Xenopus tropicalis: one gene and its partners. The protein of the gene in region 1 purifies or fractionates together with the protein of each later gene. This does not show direct contact. Links are inferred from orthologs where the notes say so. Each region holds a gene or a part of one and is shown in the gene's direction. Other genes may lie near its edges. The genes, in order: lin37, mybl2, lin54, rbl2, e2f4, rbl1 and lin52.

Region 1 (4,192 bases):
CCCCTCAAGACTGCATGCCAAGGGCCCCCCCCCCCTCAAGACTGCATGCCAAGGGCCCCCCCCCCCTCAAGACTGCATGCCAAGGCCCGCCCCCCTCAAGACTGCATGCCAATGCCCGCCCCCCTCAAGACTGCATGCCAAGGCCCGCCCCCCTCAAGACTGCATGCCAAGGCCCGCCCCCCTCAAGACTGCATGCCAAGGCCCGCCCCCCTCAAGACTGCATGCCAAGGCCCGCCCCCCTCAAGACTGCCTGCCAAGGCCCGCCCCCCTCAAGACTGCCTGCCAAGGCCCGCCCCCCTCAAGACTGCCTGCCAAGGCCCGCCCCCCTCAAGACTGCCTGCCAAGGCCCGCCCCCTCAAGACTGCCTGCCAAGGCCCGCCCCCCTCAAGACTGCCTGCCAAGGCCCGCCCCCCTCAAGACTGCCTGCCAAGGCCCGCCCCCCTCAAGACTGCCTGCCAAGGCCCGCCCCCCTCAAGACTGCCTGCCAAGGCCCGCCCCCCTCAAGACTGCCTGCCAAGGCCCGCCCCCCTCAAGACTGCCTGCCAAGGCCAGCCCCCCTCAAGACTGCCTGCCAAGGGCCCCACCCTAAGTCTGCCTGCCAAGGGCCCCCCCTAAGTCTGCCTGCCAAGGGCCCCCCCATAAGTCTGCATGCCAAGGGCCCCCCCTAAGTCTGCATGCCAAGGGCCCCCCCTAAGTCTGCATGCCAAGGGCCCCCCCTAAGTCTGCATGCCAAGGGCCCCCCCTAAGTCTGCCTGCCAAGGGCCCCCCCTAAGTCTGCATGCCAAGGGCCCCCCCTAAGTCTGCCTGCCAAGGGCCCCTGTAGCCCAGCTAACACCACATAGCAGGCGCAACTCATTGGGCTCCACTGTAGGACCGCAGATTAACACCTCTGGGCGCAATGAGCACAATGGAATAAGGAGAAATCCACAGGGCGATGCTGTATGGTTGGTAGCTGAGGCGTACTGGGGAAGCCATAGCGCTAATAACTCCCAGTAAGGCGCAATGGGAACGTACCTGGATATTCTCTCACACCTCTGTACTGCCGGGAGTTGTAGTTCCCCGCCTACATACGGACACCAGTACCAGCAGCGCCCAATTCCCTATATTCCCCACATTAGAACAGGGCCATGATATCCTGTCACTCCTGATACTTCCGCCCCTTCCCGAGAGTCAAATCTACCGCGCTTCCTGCCGCCTGTCTCCTAGCAACTGTCAAGACGCAAAGCACGACGGGAGAACAACTACCCAACCGCTTCCGGCCCTCCCGATTCCCGTCATGCTCTGCGGCTGCCTGCCAATCAAGCGCATCAGCTGAGCGGATGGGAAACAAGGCAGCACGGCAATGGGCGGGGCGTAGCGGGATGCTCTTCTGTGATTGGTTAGTACTGAATGACGAGCAGCTCGCAAGAGAAGCGCATTGGCTAAACCAAGAAAGCGTTCGCCCAATGACAAAGGGAGGGGGCGGAGATTTAAGCGCAGCGCGGACGGTTCGGAGTCGGTAAGTTCTGTCAGTACCAATGGCGGCGGGTTGGGTTTATGGTTCGGAGGCTTGTTTAGCGGGACCGTGTAGGGTACATGGAGCAGCTGCAATATTGAGTATCTGTTTCCCGGTATTCCCTTCGTGAAAATAACTATAAAGATTAACTACAACTCCCAGCGTCCCCTAAAGGGCCTTCGCCTTTTTAATGGCAATAGCAGGGAGAACAGCCTTTCCTAAATGGCTCTAGTTGGGGAGATCATGAACTACAACTCCCAGAATCCCCCAGAGGCTTCTGCAACATTTGGGGGCAACTTTATTTATCTGTCAAGAATTTGTCCTTTCATAAATCTGCTTCCTGAGGGGATCCCAGTGTGTGTGAGACTGACCCCCAACTGGAGTGCCCCAACCAGGCCCCCATCAGCCCCTGCCCCCCAACTGGAGTGCCCCAACCAGGCCCCCATCAGCCCCTGCCCCCCAACTGGAGTGCCCCAACCAGGCCCCCATCAGCCCCTGCCCCCCAACTGTAGTGCCCCAACCAGGCCCCCATCAGCCCCTGCCCCCCAACTGGAGTGCCCCAACCAGGCCCCCATCAGCCCCTGCCCCCCAACTGGAGTGCCCCAACCAGGCCCCCATCAGCCCCTGCCCCCCCAACTGGAGTGCCCCAACCAGGCCCCCATCAGCCCCTGCCCCCCAACTGTAGTGCCCCAACCAGGCCCCCATCAGCCCCTGCCCCCAACTGGAGTGCCCCAACCAGGCCCCCATCAGCCCCTGCCCCCCAACTGGAGTGCCCCAACCAGGCCCCCATCAGCCCCTGCCCCCCAACTGGAGTGCCCCAACCAGGCCCCCATCAGCCCCTGCCCCCCAACTGGAGTGCCCCAACCAGGCCCCCATCAGCCTCTGCCCCCCAACTGTAGTGCCCCAACCAGGGCCCCATCAGCCCCTGCCCCCCAACTGTAGTGCCCCAACCAGGCCCCCATCAGCCTCTGCCCCCCCAACTGTAGTGCCCCAACCAGGCCCCCATCAGCCCCTGCCCCCCAACTGTAGTGCCCCAACCAGGCCCCCATCAGCCCCTGCCCCCCAACTGTAGTGCCCCAACCAGGCCCCCATCAGCCCCTGCCCCCCAACTGGAGTGCCCAACCAGGCCCCCATCAGCCCCTGCCCCCCAACTGTAGTGCCCCAACCAGGCCCCATCAGCCCCTGCCCCCCCAACTGTAGTGCCCCAACCAGGCCCCCATCAGCCTCTGCCCCCCCAACTGTAGTGCCCCAACCAGGCCCCCATCAGCCCCTGCCCCCCAACTGTAGTGCCCCAACCAGGCCCCCATCAGCCCCTGCCCCCCAACTGTAGTGCCCCAACCAGGCCCCCATCAGCCCCTGCCCCAGTGAGCTTACAATCTAAGGTCCCTATCCCATTCCCATCAGTCCCTGCCCCAGTGAGCTTACAATCTAAGGTCCCTATCCCATTCCCATCAGTCCCTGCCCCAGTGAGCTTACAATCTAAGGTCCCTATCCCATTCCCATCAGTCCCTGCCCCAGTGAGCTTACAATCTAAGGTCCCTATCCCATTCCCATCAGTCCCTGCCCCAGTGAGCTTACAATCTAAGGTCCCTATCCCATTCCCATCAGTCCCTGCCCCAGTGAGCTTACAATCTAAGGTCCCTATCCCATTCCCATCAGCCCCTGCCCCAGTGAGCTTACAATCTAAGGTCCCTATCACATTCCCATCAGTCCCTGCCCCAGTGAGCTTACAATCTAAGGTCCCTATCCCATTCCCATCAGTCCCTGCCCCAGTGAGCTTACAATCTAAGGTCCCTATCACATTCCCATCAGCCCCTGCCCCTGTGAGCTTACAATCTAAGGCCCCTATCCCATTCCCATCAGTCCCTGCCCCAGTAAGCTTACAATCTAAGGTCCCTATCCCATTCCCATCAGCCCCTTCCCCAGTGGAGCTTACACTCTAAGGTCCCTATCCCATTCCCATCAGTCCCTGCCCCAGTGAGCTTACAATCTAAGGTCCCTATCCCATTCCCATCAGTCCCTGCCCCAGTGAGCTTACACTCTAAGGTCCCTATCCCATTCCCATCAGCCCCTTCCCCAGTGAGCTTACAATCTAAGGTCCCTATCACATTCCCATCAGCCCCTGCCCCTGTGAGCTTACAATCTAAGGTCCCTATCACATTCCCATCAGCCCCTGCCCCTGTGAGCTTACAATCTAAGGTCCCTATCCCATTCCCATCAGTCCCTGCCCCAGTAAGCTTACAATCTAAGGTCCCTATCCCATTCCCATCAGCCCCTTCCCCAGTGGAGCTTACACTCTAAGGTCCCTATCCCATTCCCATCAGTCCCTGCCCCAGTGAGCTTACAATCTAAGGTCCCTATCCCATTCCCATCAGCCCCTGCCCCAGTGAGCTTACACTCTAAGGTCCCTATCCCATTCCCATCAGTCCCTGCCCCAGTGAGCTTACACTCTAAGGTCCCTATCCCATTCCCATCAGTCCCTGCCCCAGTGAGCTTACAATCTAAGGTCCCTATCACATTCCCATCAGCCCCTGCCCCAGTGAGCTTACAATCTAAGGTCCCTATCACATTCCCATCAGTCCCTGCCCCAGTGAGCTTACAATCTAAGGTCCCTATCCCATTCCCATCAGCCCCTGCCCCAGTGAGCTTACAATCTAAGGTCCCTATCCCATTCCCATCAGCCCCTGCCCCAGTGAG
Region 2 (3,500 bases), on another chromosome or scaffold:
GCATATAAAAATCAAGTGCAAGTCATGGGAACTGCATCGGTTCTGGCACTGGGCATTAAAGCAGCATCAGCTTGTGATTCTTTTGGTGCACGACTGCATTAGGGCTGACATCTAGGCAAAAATGTGTGAAATGTCAGTTGGTGTCTTCAACATACACCAATAGGATAAAAACCTCATATAAAGTAGGTCTTCTGCTGTTAAAGTATATCTGATTTGCTGGCCCTGGGCAGATGTTACCTTTGGCCTACAATGGTTTTATGGCTGTTTTGATCAGGGGACACTTTCTGAACTGATGACGAGCTAGTCTATGTACACTTAAAACTCCCTATTTCTTGTTAACATTTATTTCCATTACTACCCCCTTTTATACATCTTAATTCCATATTAGGGTATATGCTGGTTATGCCTTTCCCCATAAGGGAAAATAGAACCCAGAAATCTTATGGCTTAATGGAGAGGTGTTTATGCCCTTTCAGCGCTGTTAGACATCGGATGGCACTACTTGGTGTGAGCAAAGGTTTAGTACAATAAGCACTGTCTTTTTGTTCCTTAGTCTTAATGTTTTAGTAAGGTGTTTACATTTTTGTTTTTCCTCCAGAATCGTACTGAACAACAATGTCAGCACCGCTGGCTTCGTGTTCTTCATCCTGACTTGGTTAAGGGTCCATGGACAAAAGAGGAAGATGAGAAGGTATGAAGTGAGGTATCTGAATAGGGGAATACATATTATTATTGGTGTGGCAGCCCTGATAAACTACAATTCTTTTGTAGTCTTTGGAGGGATGCTGTGAGCTCAACATCCTTGTGGCTTACGTTGAACTTTGTCTACCTCTGATAATTCTTTCTAGGTGATAGAATTAGTGAAGAAGTATGGCACCAAACACTGGACCCTGATTGCTAAGCAGCTCAAAGGCCGCATGGGCAAACAGTGCCGCGAACGATGGCACAATCACCTCAATCCAGAAGTGAAAAAGTCCTCATGGACAGAGGAAGAGGACAGAATTATATGCCAAGCCCATAAAGTATTGGGAAATCGCTGGGCTGAAATAGCAAAGCTGCTTCCTGGGAGGTAAGAGAAACCCACCTTTGCCTGTTAAACTCCTCTTTACTTCAACTGTTCAGGCTGTCTAAACAGTGCAAACGTGGCCATACTATGCATAGCATCTTATACAGCAGGGATCCCCAACCTTTCTTACTCGTGAGCCAAGTCAAATGTAAAAAGACTTGGGAAGCAACACAAGCATCAAAAGTTCATGGAGGTGCAAAATAAGGGCTGTGATTGGCTATTAGGCAGCCTTTATGCACACATCAGCTTACAGGGGGCTTTATTTGGTAGTAAACCTTGTTTTTATTCAATCAAAACTTGCCCCCAAGTCAGGAATTCAAAAATAACTACCTGGTTTGGGGGCACTGAGAGCAACATCCAAGGGGTTTGGGGAGCAACATGTTGATCATGAGCCACTGGTTGGAGATCACTGTTATACAGTATCTATCTAACCCAAAGGCCAATCAGACACTGTACAAAGCTGAAATGTGTACAGCAGCCTTAAGCCTTCAATATACTGTCCTGGGGGAAGAATAAACTGAAACATTACCTGTTTAAGGAAATAATTGGCTTTCCTAAAACATTTTACCTTCTTTCAAAACAGTTTTCTCACTCCCACCCTGACCAACTTAAGTTAAACTAAGCTGTTGATAATTTGTAAACAGGCACTCTGTTTCCTTTTGACTTGTATATCAGGATATTTTGAAACCCATTGTTTAGGTTTAAATAACAGTATTGTTTACACTTGCCTGTACAGCTGATTGCTCATGTAGCCATAAGAAAACTTGGCAAATTGTCTAATGGTGACCATTGGCTAATCAGACTACCTACAAGTAAAGGTCCTTGTCTAATGGGCCTCTGTGGGCCCCAGAGTATGATTTGCTCATTGGCCACAGGGCCATAGCTTTTGCCACACTGGTCAGATTCTCAGGCTTAAATGCAAGCTGAGAATCCATCCCTGGACTTGGAAAATCTGCTAGGTGTCTGCTCGGTTGCAGCCCCACTAAGCAAAATTCGGCAAAATATTGCTCTGTGGCTCCTGGTGCTGCCACAACTATCAGATTTTTTTTAAGCGTAGTGGTGGATTCTGGGGCTGCCTTTACCCACAGGCTGAGAATCTGCACAGTGTTACACTTGCCTAAGGGTTGGAACAGCCCATTTAGTCCCTGCATGGGGCTGGCACAAGAACATGCTAAGTTATCATCACTTAGAAGTCTTTCTAGGTCTGTCATTTGAAATCTAAAGCCAGCCCGCCTCCTGCTGAAAGGCTGAATAGCAGTTTATTTGCATGCCTACTGCAGACAAGACTGGATGCTATAAAGCAATGAAAAATGCATCTTCAGTTGCTAATTAGCTACTCCACATCTGGAGTGTGTGCCTGTTTGATACTGATAACCTTAGCAGTGCTTCTAAGGCTGAAAAGACATGTACTATAGCATTGTACTTTGTGAATAAGAGGGGGCAGCGACTGATCTGGGTGCTCCTTCACTGGATGCAGTATGCCCTGTGTTCCTTCATCTTAAGGGCAGTGGCACACTGTGGGGAAACATTTGCATCACTTCTGCTTTGCGAAGTAGCCAAAAGTTACCTCGTAAGGAGATTTTGGGGCTACTTGAAAAACTTGAAGCGGCATATATGTTTCCCGCAGTGGTGCTTTACGTTGCTGGTGGGAAAGCATTTTCAGGATATTCAAAGCCCGCAATAGTGCAGGTGAGGTAGAGGAGAACTATACCCCCTCTGCATTTTCAACTGTTTGGCCTCCCACAGGGGCCACCTTTCTCCCTCCTGATGACATCATTGCCTGCAGCTAAAAGTTCACTTGTCCCCATACCTTCTATGTAACTGCAGTGTGGTTGCAGTTGCTTCTAGGGATGCACCAAACCCACTTTTTTGGGTTCGGCCGAACCCACCCTGACTGATTCTGCCAAATTCTAATTAACATATGCTAATTAGGATCAGAAGGGGCTAAAAAATCTCCACCCCTGACCAGTTAACCCTTTCTGAATGCTAATTTAGCATATGCTAAATAGTATTCGGTTCAGCTGGTACCGTGGATTTGTCCGAAACCGAACCAAATCTGGGATTCGGTGCATCCCTAGTTGCTTCACATCCAGTTTGTGTCCCTGGCCCTGATTGTCTACAAGGAGCATATGTGGTGGAAACCAGGATTAGATCTGCTGCCGCTGTACATGCTTGTTCTTTGCAATGTCACAGATCCAGATGCAGCCAGGGATGATAGTCCCCAACACCAGTTCACTACTCTACAGTTACAAAGCTGGTACCAGGTAGCTAGGCTTTAGGCACCAATTTAGTCGTAGCACAGAAAGGGGTTTAGTTCTCCTTTAGGGAAATGTTTTTGAGTCAACAGGTTAAACCGTTTGCCCACAGAAGAGAGGTATCTGCATATACCTGTACACTGTTATGCATGTTTGTAAAGATGATTATTTAGAGATTA
Region 3 (3,500 bases), on another chromosome or scaffold:
TAGAGGGTTAAGACTTTACAGTGGGGCCTACGGAAATCCATCGGATGAGGACTGCATCAGTAATCCAATGTGTTGCTACATCCAGTGTTTTTTTCCAAATCTGCCCGATTGACTGTTTTCACCCAGATACTCTTCAGCCCCATTTGTTGTCCTACATACACAGCCCAATAAGTCGCCAACTTGTACAATAAAAAAACTGCAGCCTTGTTCCCTCCAGAACATATAAATAATCTTTTTTTTTTTTTTTAAAGAATAAGTCAACTTTTTTTTTTTTTCTATTAATAAAATTACTCTAAACAGCTTCCCAGAATTGCCTACCTTTGTCCCTCTGTTCTTTCTGACCTGGTTCCTCAGTTACAAGCTGCTCTATTCCTCTCCTTCCTTGTTCAGTGTGAAGCTCCGCCCCCACTTCCTGTTCAAGTCTCTCATTACATAGACTACCTGTAGTCCAAGTGGAGAGCCTTCTGCGCATGCCTGGAGGCAGCAGGAGCCAGTCTGTGCATTAGCAGGTTTTTTTTTTCTTGATGAGACCCCTGAACAGGAAGTGGGGGCGGAGCTTCACACTGAGCAAGGAAGGAGAGGAATCGAGCAGCTTGTAACTGAGGAACCAGGTCAGAAAGAACAGAGGGACAAAGGTAGGCAATTCTGGGAAGCTGTTTAGAGTAATTTTAATAATAGAAAAAAAAAGGTTTACTTATTTTTTAACTTCTTTTATTGATCATAAACATCAGCATCACATTTTGGTATTTTTCTCTTGTTAACATTGGTATTGTTCTTAGGTTGAGTTTTGTTTTTTTATAACAATAGTTATGACCATTTCAGAAAGAGGTGAAGAAGAGAACTTATCCCAGTAGAACCCCACTGCATAATAAATAATGCATCTTTAACAACTTCTTACTTTAATATTAATAATGTTTTTTTTTTTTACTGTAGATCACCTGCTCTCAGAGGTTTAGAATGGATGTGGTGTCTACTGATGTTAACAATGTCCTCCCTGATGAGATTATGGAGACAGGAATTTCCTTGGTGGATGATGACAGCATTGAAGCTATCACAATATCCTCGCCTATGGTGGATGAAGCCCCCATGGAAACAGAACTGGAGCGCATTGTGGAAGTGAGCAGTAGTGGTGAATGTGTTTCTACAGCAGTAGTGAAAGAAGCAGTTGCATCAACTAGCAACAATGCTGGACACTTAGCAGTGGTTAGTGTTGCTTCAAAGCCAGAATCTGGACCTTCAGCCGCAGCCATGAAAACTGTATTACAGACGCACTTTCACAAACTGGCTACTCCTATATCTGGTCAGGTGGTACTTAATAAGGTTTCACAGGCTTCTGATCTTACAGCCGGAAGTCATGTTGTGAAGCAGGAAGGGCAGAAACTGATTGTTACAACTCTGGGAAAATCAAGCCACCCCATTGTTCTGACATTGCCACAGAGTCACATTGGAAATGCACAGACACCAGTTACTCACGTTCAACGTATAGAATCTAAAGTGACACCACAGCAGATTAAGCTTGTAACCATCGGTGGAAACAGATCTGATGGAAATCCTGTCCTTGGAATGTCTGCATTAACATCTGCACAAATCATCAGCCCCTCTACCAAGTCCCCAGTGTTACAGACCCAGCAGATCAAGACTTTACAGGTAGATTTAATTTGAGGAAAGTGATGCTGTCCTGAATCATATGTGCTTTTTATTCATAAGTTTTACAGTTGTCACCCTATTTGTGGTATTAGCTTGCCAGCTAATATGTTATGTAGCATAGATCAAATAAGATTCCAGAAATGTAAAATCTGTGGCGCTGGCAGTTTGATACCTGGCAGATCATGCAATAGGTTTTATTATTATTCAGAAAAGGAAGTACATAATGGGCATAATCAGTTAATGAGCTTGCAAATGTATCTGTTTTGAGAAAAGATGCAAACTCACAGGGCTTATGAAATGACATAGAATAATTATTGGTAAGCGTCTAACATTTCAACTGTTGCTACAAGCCTTTCTTACCTTGAAAAAGGGTAGAGCAACAGCTGAAATTTTAGTAATTTACCAATAAAAGTTCTGTATCACTTTCACTGTATCTCACAAGTATTTAGTATCTAAAAGACAAGTAAATCGTTAGAGTATTCAGGAGAAGATGCAAAAATATCTGCCAGGAAAAAGCATATGGTGAACATGATTGATTCAGGGACTGGTCCAATTGCCATCTTGGAGTCAGGAAGGAATTTTTTCCCCTCTGCGACAAATGAGAGAGGCTTCAGTTGGGTTTTTTTTTTTGCCTTCCTCTGGATCAACATCGGGAGCCAACCTGACTGTCCTATCTCAGCCTGTCATTTTATAGCTTCTAATGCTAACCTACTACTGATGCACAAATTTGGCAGCTCCCTCATAGAGGAACATGGGAGATCAGAGAGGTAATTTAAAAGCATTGGGCAAATACTTTTTAAGGCAAATTATAAATATCCTGGAAATACAATTTTATGGAAAAAAAAACAGATACTTGGACCAAAAATTAAATGGGAAGGAAAGGTAAAAATTACTTTTACATTCCCACAGCTTTAGTATTAAAGCAACTAAATAAACTGAATGCATACAGCCAATAGGAAGGCTTCTGCTTATGTCATATTAGCGTAGCGTAATGGCAATGTAAGTTGTGATGTAACAATGCTCCCTGCACTGCCTAGGGAAAGATCCTCCTAATTCAAATTAGGTATGTTTTACCAGGCACCTTCAGCTACTTAGATCTAAAATGAAAGCGAAAGCTGCATTAGCAAGCTTAGGGGAACATTATTTAGAGTATTATGAGTAACACTTAACAAAGGTTTACTTAACCCCTTTAATATTCTAAAGTGCTACTTTAAAGTCTCCACTTTTTGTGAATTTTGTCTTTTAAACAGAACGTTTTCAGATTTTGTCTTTTAGATTACATTTTAACAACATGTTTTATGAATTTGTCAGTGTGCCATCAAACCCAGTCTCATATCTACAAGCTGGGCTTTCTAAATTTTTGTGTATTTCCACTTTAAGGGTCTAATACCAAAAAAAATTGCATAATATAGGGATATATATCACAAAAATATTGCTTTACATGTGAACATTTAGAAATCTGCATGTTTCATAAATGTGCCAAAACCAAATATGTATAGTTTTATGGAGATTTCTGACTTGTATGTTTCAAAAGCTCAAATGTGCCAAAATTTCAAAGCACCACCACAGAAATCAACTTTTTTTTACGCTACTGTGCCCTTTTTTTGACGTGACCGCGCCTTTCACTAACAGCGAAATGAGGAATTCTGCTGTGAATCCATGTCTGGGGAAAGAATTCGCTCATCGCTAGTGCCAGTGTGCATGTGCCGTTTGTTGATCACTGAGATGGTTGCTGGGAACAGAATTGGCACAGCTAAAGGTGGTGGCCAATGCTGTCAAGCAACTCTGTACTTCTGGACATGCTATAGGGGCACCGATGACTTGGGACTTTATCAATAAAGTGATTAAAGAGG
Region 4 (3,964 bases), on another chromosome or scaffold:
AAGGACACACAGACATTGGTAGCCAGGGCCCCCCTAAAACATTGGTAGCCAGGGCCCCCCTGCATCCTCCAGCTCACCCCCACATCATACTCCAGCTCCCCCCCAGAGTCCTTCCCAGCATCCTCCAGCTCCCCCCCCAAGCATCCTCCGGCTACCCCCAGCTCCCATCAGAATCCTCCAGCTCCCCCCCAGCAACTTCCTGTGGCTCCCCGCTGCATGTGCACAGCTCACCCCCATTGTCCTTCTGCTCCACCCCCAGTAACTTCCTCCAACTCGCCCCCAGCGACTTCCTCCAGCTCCCCCCCAGCAACTTCCTCTGGCTCCCCTCAGCTTTCCCCCACCGCAGCGACTTCCTCCAGCTCCCCCCCCCTCAGATAAGTGAAAAGTACTGAGTAGCAGATCTGGATTTATACAAAGGCCAGGGCCTAGGGCAACATGCAGACCAGCTGCTGCTTCTAAATTTGGACTGAAGGACTAGAGAAATGCCCCACGCACTGACTATAGAAGTGGGCATGCACATGACTGCAGAGACGGGGGTCTAGGGTGCACCCTCTTTGTAAATCCGGGCCTGTTGACTAGGGTTGCCACCTGTCCAGTGTTTTACCCGCCTTCCCAGTAATAAATTATGCTTGATGCCAACGTTATTAATAGAGAAAGACGAATATATGAATTCCTGTAATTTTTTTTACTTATTATGATCCCCATAGCATTTAAGATGTGAATGTTGGTAAAACATGTTATGTCCTAAATGCAAACATTGCATTGCATTTCTAAATTATTTTCTTTTTTATGAATCATACAAATTACTGGATATGTTCATAAAGGGCTGGGTCCCCCGTAATTGCCATTGATACTGTGACATTCCTTCAAGTCGATTTGTTCACTCATTTTGGACCCCCTGTGAAGTAAAGATGACACAGCCCATATAGGAAAACGTGAGTGTTAGTTTAGAAAGCGTAAAAGCAGGATGGCCTCCTCCTCCAAAGAAAGTATTTACATATAGGAACAGTGGGGCTTAGTTGAACTAAAACTTTCTTTTCAGGAAGGAACATAACGCACGCGTACTAACAGAATAGGGCGGCGGATGCTGCTATGTTGTTTATGAACAGAGTAAGAGACTAGCAGGAACTAGCAAGTATCTCAATCGGCAGCGATAAGGAAAGGAAAAGGCCGACCTCTGTGTTGTTTTGGGCGGGGCTACGCTACGCATTTTCCCCATCTATATTAGAAGAACAGTGTCCTACGCTAGTAGGCCTTTCTAATTGGTGACGAGAATATCAAAGCGTTGCTGTCAGTCATTGCCATTTAAATGGCTGCGCAGTGTGAGATGTGGAAGTGCACCGTTCGGGTGGCGGAGGGGACATAGCCGGGCAACTGGAAGGTCTGAGGATGATCAAGGAGGAAGAAGAAGAAGGGGAAGGCAAGCAGGCAGAAGAACAGCTGCGCTGCCGCTATGACGAACTCTGCAGCAGCCTTAATATGGATGAGAGGGCCCGGGGGGAGGCCTGGGAGTATTACAGTAGGATTAGCCAGAATTATACTCTAGAGGTGAGAAATTCTATTTTTTCATGGGCTTGATGAATGCCTGACCTGCGGCCCTCCTACTGCTGTTGGTGCTACTCTGCTCTCCCAGTCTCCGCTACAGGGCATGCTGGGTATGGTAGTACAGTAACAACTGGACTGGAAAAAAAACAAACAGCGTCGCTGCAAGCTTTGGCTTATTAGCAAATAACTGTAGTAGTGCGCTGTGGAGGTTTTTGCATCCCAGAAAATATTTTCATTGCTTTTTTTTAGTTTATTTCACATTATTTAGCATTTCACCTGGATGCCTATGCTGCATGTGTTACAGCTCCTTATCAGATACGGGAAGGGATGAAATGGACGTGGAGTGCAGTAGTCTGTCATAGCTATGACTTTATTCTGATCGCTAATAAGTACAAAACGGTAACAAAAAAGTGCCTTGCGGGGCAGGAGACAAGAAGGAACTGATTGCATGAGCTTACAATCTAAAGTAGGGATCCCCAACCTTTTTTACCTGTGTGCCACATTCAAATGGAAAAAGTGTTGGGGAGCAACACAAGCATGACGAAAGGTTCCTGGGGGTGCAAATAAGAGCTATGGTTGGCTACTTAATAGCCCCCTCTGTGGACTGGCAGCCTATAGGAGACTCTGTTTGGCATTATACTGGGTTTTTATGCAACCAAAACTTGCCTCCAAACCAGAAATACAAAAATGAGCACCTGCTTTGAGGCCACTGGGAGCAACATTCAAGGGGTTGGGTAGCAACATGTTGCGCACGAGCCACTGGTTGGGGATCACAGATCTAAAGGTTCAGGGAGGGACTGACACATGAGGCTGTTGGAGGATGTGTACAATAATTAACATCTTTCTGATTTTTTTTTTTGTGGAAGATAATTAAAAATGATTAACACGGTATTTACAGTAGTTGCACAACTCTGAATTTCTGTGTTTTATAAGCTGAGAAATCTGCCTAGTTATTTTCACATCCTTTTGACAAGCTATATGGAGTGCTTACTTACTGTATTCTCATCTAACTGAGCGTAGTGCAGATCATTATACCAGCTAACTTAAACTTGGAGTTATGCTACCTGTATATATATATATTAACATGCTGTATATTAGCAGCTTTGACTTGATGGCTGCTGTTTGTTTTGGTTGTGATGAGGAGCAGCTTAATGCAGTCTCCTTGGAGATATGTGGACCTTAGCAATTCAGCTGTTTAATTACTAGGGCTCTTGCAGACTGTGTTATTTATATTCTAACACTGTATCCAAGTAACTAAAGCAGAGAAGTGCTGTATATTCTTCCTTTTTTAAAAGAAATATGATACCTTGAAAATATTTTGTGTTAATCTGAACTAGGTATAGTTCAGATATAGTATAGTACTATTTTATGCAGATCTATAGTTCCCTCTTAATTCTTATGAGTTTGTTTTGTACATATCCCTCCTTTTGTGCGCCATCACCAATAAACCTACAAATTCAAATGTGGGATGGAATACTTTTTCACTAGTAAGTAACTGTAAATTAAACTTACCTGCAGCGCATCAGGGAAGGGAGACCGGAGGATTTGTGGCGCACCCTGCGGGGATCGGGTTGGGGCCGCAGGGGCTCACCAGGTTTGTTCCTGGTGCCCCGGCCGCCCAGTTCAACCCTAGATAAATCAATGGGTAGATTTTCATTAAGTCTAGGGAAGGCTAACCCTTTCCAAACCTGTCTGGCACCTAAATTAAAAAGTGGAAAGCTCTTTGCATTCCTGCAAGGTCCGATACCATTGTTACCAGCTGCACTCTGATTGGATTTTTTTGCTTGCAGCTTCTCCAATCAGAGGGCAGCTCTTTTTACAGACAGTACACTCTCTATCAATCAAATGGAAGGTGGGGATGGAGAGATTTCAGGAACTGAAGGTACTTGGAAGCATGGGTAGGCAGAAGAGGCACCTGCCTATGGCGCAACGGTGTGGCCGCGCCAGGCAGGTGGTATTTCTTTCACCAACCACTAGTTCCGGGCCCTTTCCCCCCCCTACTGTAGTACCCCCCCGCCAGTGGCCCCGGCAACCCCGCCACCCTGTGTGTGCACGCGCGCCCACGTGGGGGATAAGGCGGGCCAAGCCAACCAGGTTGCCCAGGGGACTCAGCACTGCTTGGAAATAAGGATTTACAAGAAACATATGTAAGGTTTTACGCTTTTCCTGCCAAGCATGTATGTGATACATGTTGCAGAAAAAGCCTTTGACTGCCAAGCATATATCACATACGTTCAAGGGCCCAAACCTCTAGGTAACGAGCCAAGTCAGTCTTGTGACGCGATTGTTGGAGGGCCCGACTTCTACCACCAGAAACGGTCGCACTCGTGTCTGCTGTTAGAGCTTCTTCCTACTACCTCCCTGAGTCCGCCCTGCAATCTAGGGACCCTCATCGTTTGAAAGGACCCTCCTCACTAAA
Region 5 (2,838 bases), on another chromosome or scaffold:
AGGCATAGTTTCTTTTATGTTTTCCTAAAAGATTTTTTTGTTAAAATCCCATTAAAAGAAGCAAAAAAAAAAAAAGCATTGTGCCATGATTTATCTAAAGGCATGGCTTTTAAGCATAAACCAGTGTGCCGTTTGTATGTGTCCATATAAGTATTAGCTTGCAGTAAGTACATTTTCACAGAATAATGTAAGGATCTAATGTCTGCTATGGTGTGCCCTTACTCTCAAGTATCTGTGCTCTGTGGTGCTAAGGCTACTGCCATATACAGCAGTTTCTCAGCATGCATATAAGCACAGGCACAGAAACAGTCCCTCCGCTCTCTGCAGACACACTGCAGTTTGTTTATCAACTCTGGGCACTGAAACCTATAGCAGTCAGTTATTGGCTTTTTTTTAGCCAGCTGCAGGTAGAACAATGAATGCAGCAGTTTGATTGGTTGCCATAGGTTACTGCCCACAAGCAAATTTGCCCAGTGGTGAAATGACCCCCAGCGTATTTTAGTGCAGAAACGCATCACTATGCATTTACTGCCTAATCAGCTTCTTGTGTTTGCACCCAGGCCAAAAGTATTGTCTGCAGCTGCAAACACACTATAGAGCAGATTGGAGCCAAGAGGCTGTAAATGCAGGCCGGACAGCTAAATAATGGATGACCACTGCAGAGCTGATAGCAAACATGCTGCAATAAAACTTGAACTTTTGCTTAAAGTAAAGATTTATTATACATATTATATAAATAAGCAGTTCTTCTAGTCAAATAATTAACGTTTTTGGTGTAATTGGCTCTTTAAATTGCATATTCTAAGAGCCGTGGCAGATGGGGAGATTAGTCGCGGGCAACTAATCTCCCAGATATGCCATCTCCACTGACTTGAATGTAAATCACCAGTGGGATGGCATACGTGACGCCGCGGGCGACTAATCTCCCTGTCTGCCATGGCACTTAGGGGCAGGTTTATCAAAATGTGAGATTAAAGTTTACCACTGAAAAAATTACTGTGATTTTTAAAAGTGTGTTTATCAGTGAATGAATAGAAAGTGAATGAGTTTTTTCTGTGGTAAACTCACATTTTGATAAACTTGCCCCTTAGGGGCAGATTTATCAAATCACGAGTTCGAATCCCAAATGGGAAAAATTCGGATTGGAAACGAAAATTTCTGAAGATCGCAAATATCACGAAAATGCTTACGAAAAAATTGTATTAGTCACGATAATTTCGTATTGGTCACAAAATGTGCGTACCGTACAATTTTAAACAGCGGTAAAACCTTTCCAGTTTTTTCGTGCAAGCGTATGGGGAAAAGTCGTGCGGCGTACGACAAAATCGTGCGGACGCCCAAAAAATTCAGCGAAAAAACGCTCTGAGCGTTCATGCCTTTGTTAATGTGCCCCTTAGTGTTGGTATGTAGAATGATGTTGGTTGTATAGGTATAGATTTGTATTAAGATACAGTCTCTCTATATAAATCATATCAGAAGCACTTATGACTGATACCACTGCTGGCCCTGTATGTGGGCACCTGCTTATGCTTGAAAATACTCATGATTTTTTTTTTTTTTTCAGTTTTTGCTCCTCTGCTCAGACTTTCTCCTCCTCCTGGTGATCACGACTATGTCTATAATTTAGATGAAAGTGAAGGAGTTTGTGACCTCTTTGATGTACCCATCAACCTCTGATATTTTGAACTCGGCTTTGGGCCTTATTTGTGAATAAGAACTTTTTTGTTGTCTTTTATGAAGAAATGTTTCTATTTTTGGATATCCGCGTGAGTTGTTACGGAAACCATACCAGAGACATTGCAGTGCAAAAAGACACTTAACTCCTCTCACTGTGAGAATCCGCTCATAACTTTTCCATCCCTGTGATGAGAGGACTGCTTGGCAAACCCTTCATAGAGGTTGTCTGTATTGATCCAGCTTTATTAAGTCCATTACTACATCTGACAGAAGCTTTTCACAAATTTCAAGCACTTAACATTTTTGCTGAAGTACATAATATTTGGATTTTTGGCTGAGTGTGCCTCAGTATTTGGGCTTAGAAGTTCTTAAGTCTGTCCAATAATATAGTAGGTGTGCAGTACCATCCTCCATAAACAAATGGTTTTCCATGCAGTAACCGTAAAAAATAAGCTTGGTTGTCTTTTATTATGCTCTGACCTCACTCACTGCCAAATCGCTGCCAGTCACTGTCTAGCTAATTTACCTAAATGAAAGAAGATGTTGATATGAAATTATTTTTCTACATACATTTGCTGCGCCACATGAACTATTTGTAATTTTTGTTTTCTACAAAATAAACCCGTATTTGCCAGTAGCACTTTAGGGATGTAAAAACAAACACCCAGAGCAGCTGTGTGACTTTGTTGGGGTGAAAGTGGTGAGATTCAATACAAAAGCTGTGCAGTCCATTTTAGTCCAAATGATACACAATGATTGCTGGCACTGGAGTTGTATGGAATTGAATTATATTATAAACTTGTGCTTTAGAAAGAATATTATAGTGTAAAGAGTTACCTATTTATAGTCACTTCTATGACCGAATATACGTTAAGATTGGCATTTTCCTTTGCACATAGCTTTCATATATTTGTAATATGTTAGGTGACATGGTACCATGGAGATATGTTGTTTCTCCCAGACAGAGATCTCCTTGTTTTTAATACCAGTGCTGCTCCACCTGGATCTCAGTCCAACGTTTAAGTAGAATATTAGGACTTAGTCTATGTTGATTTAAATTGATTTTATTTAATATACTGCAAATATATAATATATATAATGTAATTCCAGTGTCAGTAATCAAGGTAAGGAATATACTTTCTGCAAAAGGAGTTCCTTGGC
Region 6 (3,500 bases), on another chromosome or scaffold:
TCCAACCTTAATCCCTTTTAGGTAATAGAAGTGTTTATTCGTTCCGAAGATGGGCTGTCACGGGATATGGTGAAACACCTCAATACCATTGAAGAACAGATTTTGGAGAGCCGTGCTTGGACCAGCGACTCGGTTCTCTGGGTGCATCTTGACGCTGTTGATAATGTGCCAACCTGTGAAGAAGTACGTTCAATATGGCCACACCTGTCCTTTCATTACTTCTTGCTCAATAAATACAGCACAATGATCGCAAAAAACTAAACTTGTGTTGGTTTCTTAACATAATTGAATAATTGTGACACAAGTTTAGTTTGGTACCTTTGTGTTACAGATCGCTAAATGCTATACGATATCAAATGACTGGATAGACACAGCACAGAATAGTCCCAATCTGTGTATTTTTATTTCTGGACAGCAGTGTTACTGTTCCCTTATACAGAACAGTACAGGCTTATAGCTTAGTGTTTGCACAAAACATACCTTCCTTGTATATTTGAATCATACGTATGGTTAATAAGCTGCCGTCTTTCCTGCCAGTGCTCAGGTCGGTCTTTTCCTTATTTGGTGTTGAAACAGCACCACTGATCATTTAGATCATTAGAACTGGTTTTTATTTTTTGATTTAAAACTGAAGAGGTTTTCTTTCATTTCATAGGTAATCATACCCAGCAACTTTGAAACTGGGAATGAGGCTGGGGTGGGCCACTTGCCCATGATGCCTGCATCTCCCATTGTTCATCCTCGGTTGAAAGAAGTTCGAACTGACCTAGGAGGATCGTTCAGGCGAGGTGAGAAACTGGGTCGGAGGGTTATCCACAAATTAAGAGACCATAAAATTATAATAAAACTGCACTTGGGAGCAAATGTTTAATGTTGTGGGGTTTTTTTCTGGGGAATAATTTGATATAATATCTTATAAGTTTATGTACTTTGTTGATGCCCACTATTTGACATTCTCAGTTTGATAATGATTTTTCACAAGATAATTTGGGGAAGGATGGGCTGAAGTTGCAACCCTGTACTATTTGCTGCTTCTACTTCACTCAACAGCAGAGAGTGAACAGAGAAGTAATTTTGCCATAAGAAATGGTTGTATGTGTTTTATTCAGCAGTGTGAATGGTTGTTTTCCAAGCTTTCCTTTGTAGCATGGATAGAGATGTATTTCAGTGTTTTTTGTTTTTTTTTTCTTTTAGACTGCCAGCCACTCTCTCCAATTTCTGTTCATGACCGCTACAGTTCACCAGCTGCTGGCAGTGCCAAGAGGAGGCTCTTTGGGGATGACTGCCCAAGGGAGCAAACTGTGGACAAAATAACCACACCTGATATCACCCGCATAAGGATTGCATTAAGCCCCTCTCCTGATAAAACTGCCCAGTCTATTGGGCAGACTATTGCTATACCTGTGCAAGGTAAATACTGGTGCTTAAAAGTGAAAGCTTTATTCTTAACCTTTCTAGGATTGGACACGTTAGTATGTCAGTGACCGTTTTGGCTTCTGTTTCTGATTAATTTTTCAAAGTATTTGTAAAAGGCCACTTGGTATAACATTTGGGCCAGTCTTATAACAGGGTTACAGATAGGAGCACCCTGCTATAGTTCCAGGGGTACCCAGGGCACAAATAAGCACTCACCCCAAATCCCCCCCTAACTGGCCTTCAGGCTGGGCCCCCTTAGCCCATAACAAGGTTACAGATATATAGAAACATTGGGGTAACAGTCACCCTGCTATAGTTCCAGGAGTACCCAGGGCACAAATAAGCACTCACCCCAAATCCCCCCCCTAACTGGCCTTCCGGCTGGGCCCCCTTAGCCCATAACAAGGTTACAGATATATAGAAACATTGGGGTAACAGTCACCCTGCTATAGTTCCAGGGGTACCCAGGGCACAAATAAGCACTCACCCCAAATCCCCCCTAACTGGCCTTCAGGCTGGGCCCCCTTAGCCCATAACAAGGTTACAGATATATAGAAACATTGGGGTAACAGTCACCCTGCTATAGTTCCAGGGGTACCCAGGGCACAAATAAGCACTCACCCCAAATCCCCCCCCTAACTGGCCTTCAGGCTGGGCCCCCTTAGCCCATAACAAGGTTACAGATATATAGAAACATTGGGGTAACAGTCACCCTGCTATAGTTCCAGGGGTACCCAGGGCACAAATAAGCACTCACCCCAAATCCCCCCCTAACTGGCCTTCAGGCTGGGCCCCCTTAGCCCATAACAAGGTTACAGATATATAGAAACATTGGGGGTAACAGTCACCCTGCTATAGTTCCAGGGGTACCCAGGGCACAAATAAGCACTCACCCCAAATCCCCCCCTAACTGGCCTTCAGGCTGGGCCCCCTTAGCCCATAACAAGGTTACAGATATAGAAACATTGGGGTAACAGTCACCCTGCTATAGTTCCAGGGGTACCCAGGGCACAAATAAGCACTCACCCCAAATCCCCCCCCTAACTGGCCTTCAGGCTGGGCCCCCTTAGCTCAACACATATGGGTGGGAGTATTGGCTTTTTATCTGCTGGGGGGAAAATGCCAAGTTTGATATTAGCCTTTTAATCCATTACTGCTACTACTTCTTAGGTTTAGCGAATGAAAGTGTCAAAAGCCTTTTTCTACCAATGAAAACGTCTCCTCCACAAAGTGAAAATTATGTTCCGGTCCCTTTGACTGCGCAAGCACTGATTAGCCCACTTACAAAGCGTCAGTTGGGCAGAATGCCGGAATCCTGCCCCACATCAGCGCGCAAGCCCAAGAAAACTGGCTCTCTGGCTTTGTTCTTTAGAAAGGTGAGCTCAAATATATTCAAAATTATTTGCTTGTGACTTCACGTGACCCTTTACCTGCCGGCGATGTAGGTTCTCTGTTTCTACCTTTAAACGACACTGTCCATCTAATAAAAAAAAAAATTAGAAACCTGTGAACTACAATTCCCAGAAATCCTAGTTTAGGCCGAGAGTTGAAGCTAAGCCAGTAAGATGGATGTTTACCCACTACTGTAATAATGCTTAGTGCTTAGTATCATGTTCTTTTGGGCAACTATGGAACTTTGCAGCCATGTACTTTGTACTGTAGGTCTATCACTTGGCGAGTGTCCGTCTCCGTGACTTGTGCCTGAAGCTGGATGTGTCCAATGATTTGCGCCGAAAGATCTGGACTCTGTTTGTGTACTCGCTGGTCCATTGCACTGACCTAATGAAAGACAGGCACCTGGATCAGCTGCTCCTCTGTGCTGTGTACATTATGGCCAAGGTACGTTTTATCTAAGCTTTAGTACTGCACGGAAGTGGATTATCTCTTGTGAAATGACATCATTCTGTTTACATTGTAAGGGGGGAAAAAGTTATTTTATTTATATTTAGTGCAGAATGTGCCATCAGGAATTGGCCAGCTAACTTAAATCCATACCTTTTAAATGAGAAAGAAAGGTATTTTGGCATTTTACTGCCAATAGATTAGTCATTAGTGCCACCTAGAAAGCTATATATTCTGCAGAA
Region 7 (4,251 bases), on another chromosome or scaffold:
TCATCACCCATAAAGGTAGCCCTAGATCATGGGTGTCAAACTCAATCACATAAGGGGCCGAAATCTAAAACACAGGCCAAGTTGAGGGTCAACCATGCCTGACCGTGCAGCACCACTGGGACTGGAGCAGTGATGTCAGGTGATAGGTGCTGCATGTTCAGACACAGTCACCATCGGCCACATAAAACAGCCAGGCGGGCTGGATTCGGCCCGCGGGCCTTGTGTTTCACACATGCCCTAGATAATCAACAGTTTATCCATTCCTATGCTAATATATAGCACAAAGCAGGCATTAGCTGCCAACAATGCCCACATAACCTACTGCTGGCAATCAGTGTGCAAGTCCATATAGGTATTTTTCTGAAGTATACCTTCTTATTAGGATCTCAGCATAAGCTGCATAGCACTGAACATTATTAAGCACCCACTGGGAATATCTGATATATCGCCTTATATACATGGGAGTGTTCATGTGCAATGATATGCAGCCCAACAAAGCACCAAATTTTGCAAAGTAAATTATCCAAAACTTAACAAAGGAGTATATCAGATTAATATTAATCAATAGGAATACCAGATCAATCCTCACACTATTTGGTTCACTACTTGAATCTTAGTTTCCTTCCAAGACTTTTGGCAAGGCCTGGGCTGGGCATACCAATACACGAACTATGAAGGCCTCTAGAGAAAGGGCAGTGACCCATCCTCTCCGGTGCAAAATTCTAATGCAGGGGCCCAATTTACTACCCCCAACACTGAGTCACTACCGACCATCAGTCTCTTAATCCCAGCCTCCTTTATCCGCGCATATCAACGTAGCCCTGCTTGTAAAATAGCACCTTCATAATATAGTTTCATTCGTCTATTGGGAACACCCATTTATTTTGGGTACCTGGGGATATTCTCTCCCCCACTCACTCATGTCAATGTACTAGCCCACACTCACCCTCACTATTCCTCTGATCCGCATCATGCTTCCTTCAGAATCCCTGAGCTTCTCAGAGACTGAATGACAAGAAGCCACACCTCTACCCCGCCATTGGCTGATGATGCCACGGCCCCTTAAAAAGTGTTTCCTATTGGCCTGCCAGAAATAGTGACCGATTGTGCGCTAACTCAAGGTTTGACCGACTGGTGCCCTACTATGTGTGCCTTGATTGGCTCATATTTGTCACGTGATGACTCTTGGATCTTCACCGCTATTTGCCATTTTTACGATCGACAAAATGTGTAGGAACATGACGCCTTCTTGGTGTCTGGAAAGTGATGTAGCAAAAAGGCAGTGCATCGCACCATGCCTTAATGGTTAAAACATTATTGTACAAGTTAACTTTAGTCTTTAAAAAATAGACGTTTGTGTAAGCTATGGGTGGGTGCAGCAATATGGCGCTTAAGTATAGAGCGTCAAATTGGGTGTACCAAGATGGAATGTTTAAGTCTATTTCTGTCACGTGACAAGTGAGAAAATGGCGGCAGTTACGGATGGTAAGCGGTTGTTTTTAATTTGTAGGTACACTAATGGGCTTAGAGGAAAGTATTCTACATATATGTATCCGATAATTGCTTCTAGCAGCAGGGTAAAGCCGATGTGTGTTCCCGCTGCGCATGGTTACTCTGTCGAGAAAGTACTGGGAGTTTATCATTAAACCTTGAAAATAACAGTGAATGCATTGCGATGTTCTGTGCTGCTCTGGTGATCCCTAGCCATGTCAATAATTAGCCGCAGACAATGAACTGATCCTTCTTTTACTTTTCACATGTAATAAGGCTTCCTATTGACATCAGGTGGAAAGTGTACAAGCCTTCGGCTTCGTCTAGTTTGTAGGAAGGTGTACTTGCACAATTTGGGATGTTGCCAATGTACAGACATTAACCTAAATACTACTACTCATAGACGAATGTAGCATAGTGCACATGCGTAAAGCTGTTAGATCCTAGTGTGGATATAGCTCAGTGATCAAGCTACTAAAGGCAATTAAAGAAAAGAGTGCTTTATTTTAGCTAAACATTATCATAATCACAAACCTAATGTCCCAAAATTATATACGAGATATTCACGCTCATGAAAAAAGTATTATACAGTCTAGCCTAATCCTAATGACCCAAAGTATACTACGTAAACCCAAACTCTTCCTATCAACATACATGTAAAAAATTTGTGTAAAAGCTTTGTGAGTTGAACCCAGAACCCTAACACAGAAGGGCAAGAATTCCGACCACTTTACCACAATGCTACTTGGTTACTCTAGTGTGTGAAAATGTATTCTTGTGAATACACCTTGCCAACAAGAAAAGTTAAAATCTAGCTTGTTTTGTATGAATAGCCTAGATCCTTTTGGTGTAATGTCCTTTTGGTGTAATGCCCAAACAGCCCCCACCTGGCTAATAAATGTCTGGCATCTAACAGCAGCCCATCTGGCATTCCCCTGGATCCACAGATAGCCAGTCTATACCTACAGGTGGGAGTGACTTGAAAATGGTAACAGAAAAAAAGATACAGTAAGAGCAGAAGAAGTAAAACCTTGCAGAAATAAACTCTCCTGCATACAGGTTTAGGAAGAGTGAGGTACTTTATAACAGAACCCTACCAAAATAAGATTTTTTTTATCTTTTAAAAGAATAGCAAGAGTATATGTCCTCTTTATTTTACTTCGTTTGAGCAAAGGTCTATACTGTTTTTGTTACCTCAAATCTATGTGCTGAGATCTTTGTGGGGTATGAGTGAGAGTTTACTTGCAATAGTTAATGGATAACGCTCAATTTAACTTGTTTTTTTCCCTTTGAACGCATTCACAGCTATAGTTTACAAGGGGAATTATACCAGTTTTAACCTGTTGTGTGGCTTTTACGTATTTTTTTTCTCAAATTATACTCTGCAAGTAGTAAGCATGGTTTGCAAGCATGATACCTTCTTAAAACACAATGCTAGCAAAATTCACTGGGGTTGCCAAGTTGTCAGCCACCCCCCATGATTGTAATCATCAACAAGAGAAGTTGTTCACATTGTGCACAGTACAAAACTCACTGAACAATTACTGGACTCTGCTTACCCAGGGCAATAGAGGAGCTTTGGAAAGAGCAGGGAAAAATGGTTATGGCACACTCTGCAGAAAAAATGCAAGCTTTGGGTCTCTGCTCTGTAAATATAATCATGGGGGGATGACTAACAAATTGGAGCCTGCCAATGATTTTAGCTTTTATCATCCTTTAATGAGTGAAATTCATAGAGATTTTCATTTGTACTAATGGATTTGTTCATATGACCCAAACACTTTATTTACTTAGCTGTTAGTACATGCTTTTACATATCACACTGGATGGTTTGTAGCCTAGATCCAACTTTTAAATGGAAAAGAGCTCTGTTTAAAGATGCACTTAATCACAGGCAAGTCTAAAGACTGGAATTCTCCACATTCTGAATTACATCAAATTGACTTTGGTTGCAGCTAAAAGAGTTATATTTAAATAGTGGATTGAGTCCTCCCCTCCCTCATTCACTGACATTTAAGCAGAACTAAATCTTTGTAAAAATGAAACTATTCATTTCAGATTCGATAGCTTGAAAACACCATTTAAAATTTACATCAAAATGGAAAATATTTGCAAAGCTTGGAAAATAAGGAAAGAGATAAGATACATGACATCCTTTATCATTAAAATGGATTCCTACTATACGTAATCCTAGCCATGAAAATAATACTTGGCACAAATTTTTTCTTGAACTCTAGTAACTTTAATATATTAAATATTATTACAATTAGTTTTATGTAAGATTGTAATTGTTTACTTTTCAATGCTTACCTTTTATGATCTCTCTATTTTGAATGAGATTCCACGTTCACCTGTATGTTTTCTTGAATACTAATACAATGATTAAAACAAAAAAATGAACTTTACACTTTTTTCAACACAAGCAAGATAAATAGAATGTATGTATAATATAGTATACTTATGTATTATTATTTAGTTTTTACTTTATCTACCTATTTTAACCGCTATCAACTGAGTTTAAATAGGGCCAATAAGCTTTGTATAAACAAACACCATACTATTTATTGATCTGATTTTGAGCTAGAGGTGACACTGCCCCTTTAAAACCAGTGGGAAGTAAGTAGCTAAGGTCACAAAGTCACAAGATTTCACTTAGTTGACTATTCAAAAATAGTTTTGGCATTTAAAGGAACAGTAACACCAAAAAATGAAAGTGTTTTAAAGTAATTGAAATATAACATACTGTGGCCCTGCACTGGT

Evidence for each region.
Region 2: the proteins of lin37 (region 1) and mybl2 purify together in Homo sapiens (affinity purification with mass spectrometry; 6 studies listed by BioGRID and IntAct, counting the BioPlex papers as one, with this or other methods). This does not show direct contact. The link is inferred for Xenopus tropicalis from reciprocal best matches to the Homo sapiens genes LIN37 and MYBL2.
Region 3: the proteins of lin37 (region 1) and lin54 purify together in Homo sapiens (affinity purification with mass spectrometry; 4 studies listed by BioGRID and IntAct, counting the BioPlex papers as one, with this or other methods). This does not show direct contact. The link is inferred for Xenopus tropicalis from reciprocal best matches to the Homo sapiens genes LIN37 and LIN54.
Region 4: the proteins of lin37 (region 1) and rbl2 purify together in Homo sapiens (affinity purification with western blotting; 5 studies listed by BioGRID and IntAct, with this or other methods). This does not show direct contact. The link is inferred for Xenopus tropicalis from reciprocal best matches to the Homo sapiens genes LIN37 and RBL2.
Region 5: the proteins of lin37 (region 1) and e2f4 purify together in Homo sapiens (co-immunoprecipitation; 4 studies listed by BioGRID and IntAct, with this or other methods). This does not show direct contact. The link is inferred for Xenopus tropicalis from reciprocal best matches to the Homo sapiens genes LIN37 and E2F4.
Region 6: the proteins of lin37 (region 1) and rbl1 purify together in Homo sapiens (affinity purification with mass spectrometry; 3 studies listed by BioGRID and IntAct, with this or other methods). This does not show direct contact. The link is inferred for Xenopus tropicalis from reciprocal best matches to the Homo sapiens genes LIN37 and RBL1.
Region 7: the proteins of lin37 (region 1) and lin52 purify together in Homo sapiens (affinity purification with mass spectrometry; 6 studies listed by BioGRID and IntAct, counting the BioPlex papers as one, with this or other methods). This does not show direct contact. The link is inferred for Xenopus tropicalis from reciprocal best matches to the Homo sapiens genes LIN37 and LIN52.

What each region holds. Positions count from the first base shown.
Region 1 is NC_030683.2:128,883,153-128,887,344, forward strand, and holds the start of lin37 (protein lin-37 homolog), read left to right. Parts: upstream 1-1,392; 5' UTR 1,393-1,498; intron 1,499-4,192.
Region 2 is NC_030686.2:39,928,692-39,932,191, forward strand, and holds part of mybl2 (myb-related protein B), read left to right. Parts: intron 1-598; coding exon 599-691; intron 692-848; coding exon 849-1,069; intron 1,070-3,500. UniProt on the Homo sapiens protein: Transcription factor involved in the regulation of cell survival, proliferation, and differentiation. Transactivates the expression of the CLU gene.
Region 3 is NC_030677.2:85,272,412-85,275,911, forward strand, and holds part of lin54 (protein lin-54 homolog), read left to right. Parts: intron 1-933; coding exon of another isoform or gene 934-957; coding exon 958-1,647; intron 1,648-3,500. UniProt on the Homo sapiens protein: Component of the DREAM complex, a multiprotein complex that can both act as a transcription activator or repressor depending on the context. In G0 phase, the complex binds to more than 800 promoters and is required for repression of E2F target genes.
Region 4 is NC_030680.2:49,460,512-49,464,475, reverse strand, and holds the start of rbl2 (retinoblastoma-like protein 2), read left to right. Parts: upstream 1-1,164; 5' UTR 1,165-1,389; coding exon 1,390-1,548; intron 1,549-3,964. UniProt on the Homo sapiens protein: Key regulator of entry into cell division. Directly involved in heterochromatin formation by maintaining overall chromatin structure and, in particular, that of constitutive heterochromatin by stabilizing histone methylation.
Region 5 is NC_030680.2:76,512,126-76,514,963, reverse strand, and holds the end of e2f4 (transcription factor E2F4), read left to right. Parts: intron 1-1,564; coding exon 1,565-1,677; 3' UTR 1,678-2,338; downstream 2,339-2,838. UniProt on the Homo sapiens protein: Transcription activator that binds DNA cooperatively with DP proteins through the E2 recognition site, 5'-TTTC[CG]CGC-3' found in the promoter region of a number of genes whose products are involved in cell cycle regulation or in DNA replication.
Region 6 is NC_030686.2:42,369,892-42,373,391, forward strand, and holds part of rbl1 (retinoblastoma-like protein 1), read left to right. Parts: intron 1-21; coding exon 22-183; intron 184-655; coding exon 656-788; intron 789-1,194; coding exon 1,195-1,410; intron 1,411-2,586; coding exon 2,587-2,792; intron 2,793-3,078; coding exon 3,079-3,255; intron 3,256-3,500. UniProt on the Homo sapiens protein: Key regulator of entry into cell division. Directly involved in heterochromatin formation by maintaining overall chromatin structure and, in particular, that of constitutive heterochromatin by stabilizing histone methylation.
Region 7 is NC_030684.2:81,969,152-81,973,402, forward strand, and holds the start of lin52 (protein lin-52 homolog), read left to right. Parts: upstream 1-1,451; 5' UTR 1,452-1,466; coding exon 1,467-1,485; intron 1,486-4,251. Other genes in the region: aldh6a1 (methylmalonate-semialdehyde dehydrogenase [acylating], mitochondrial), read right to left, coding at 947-973.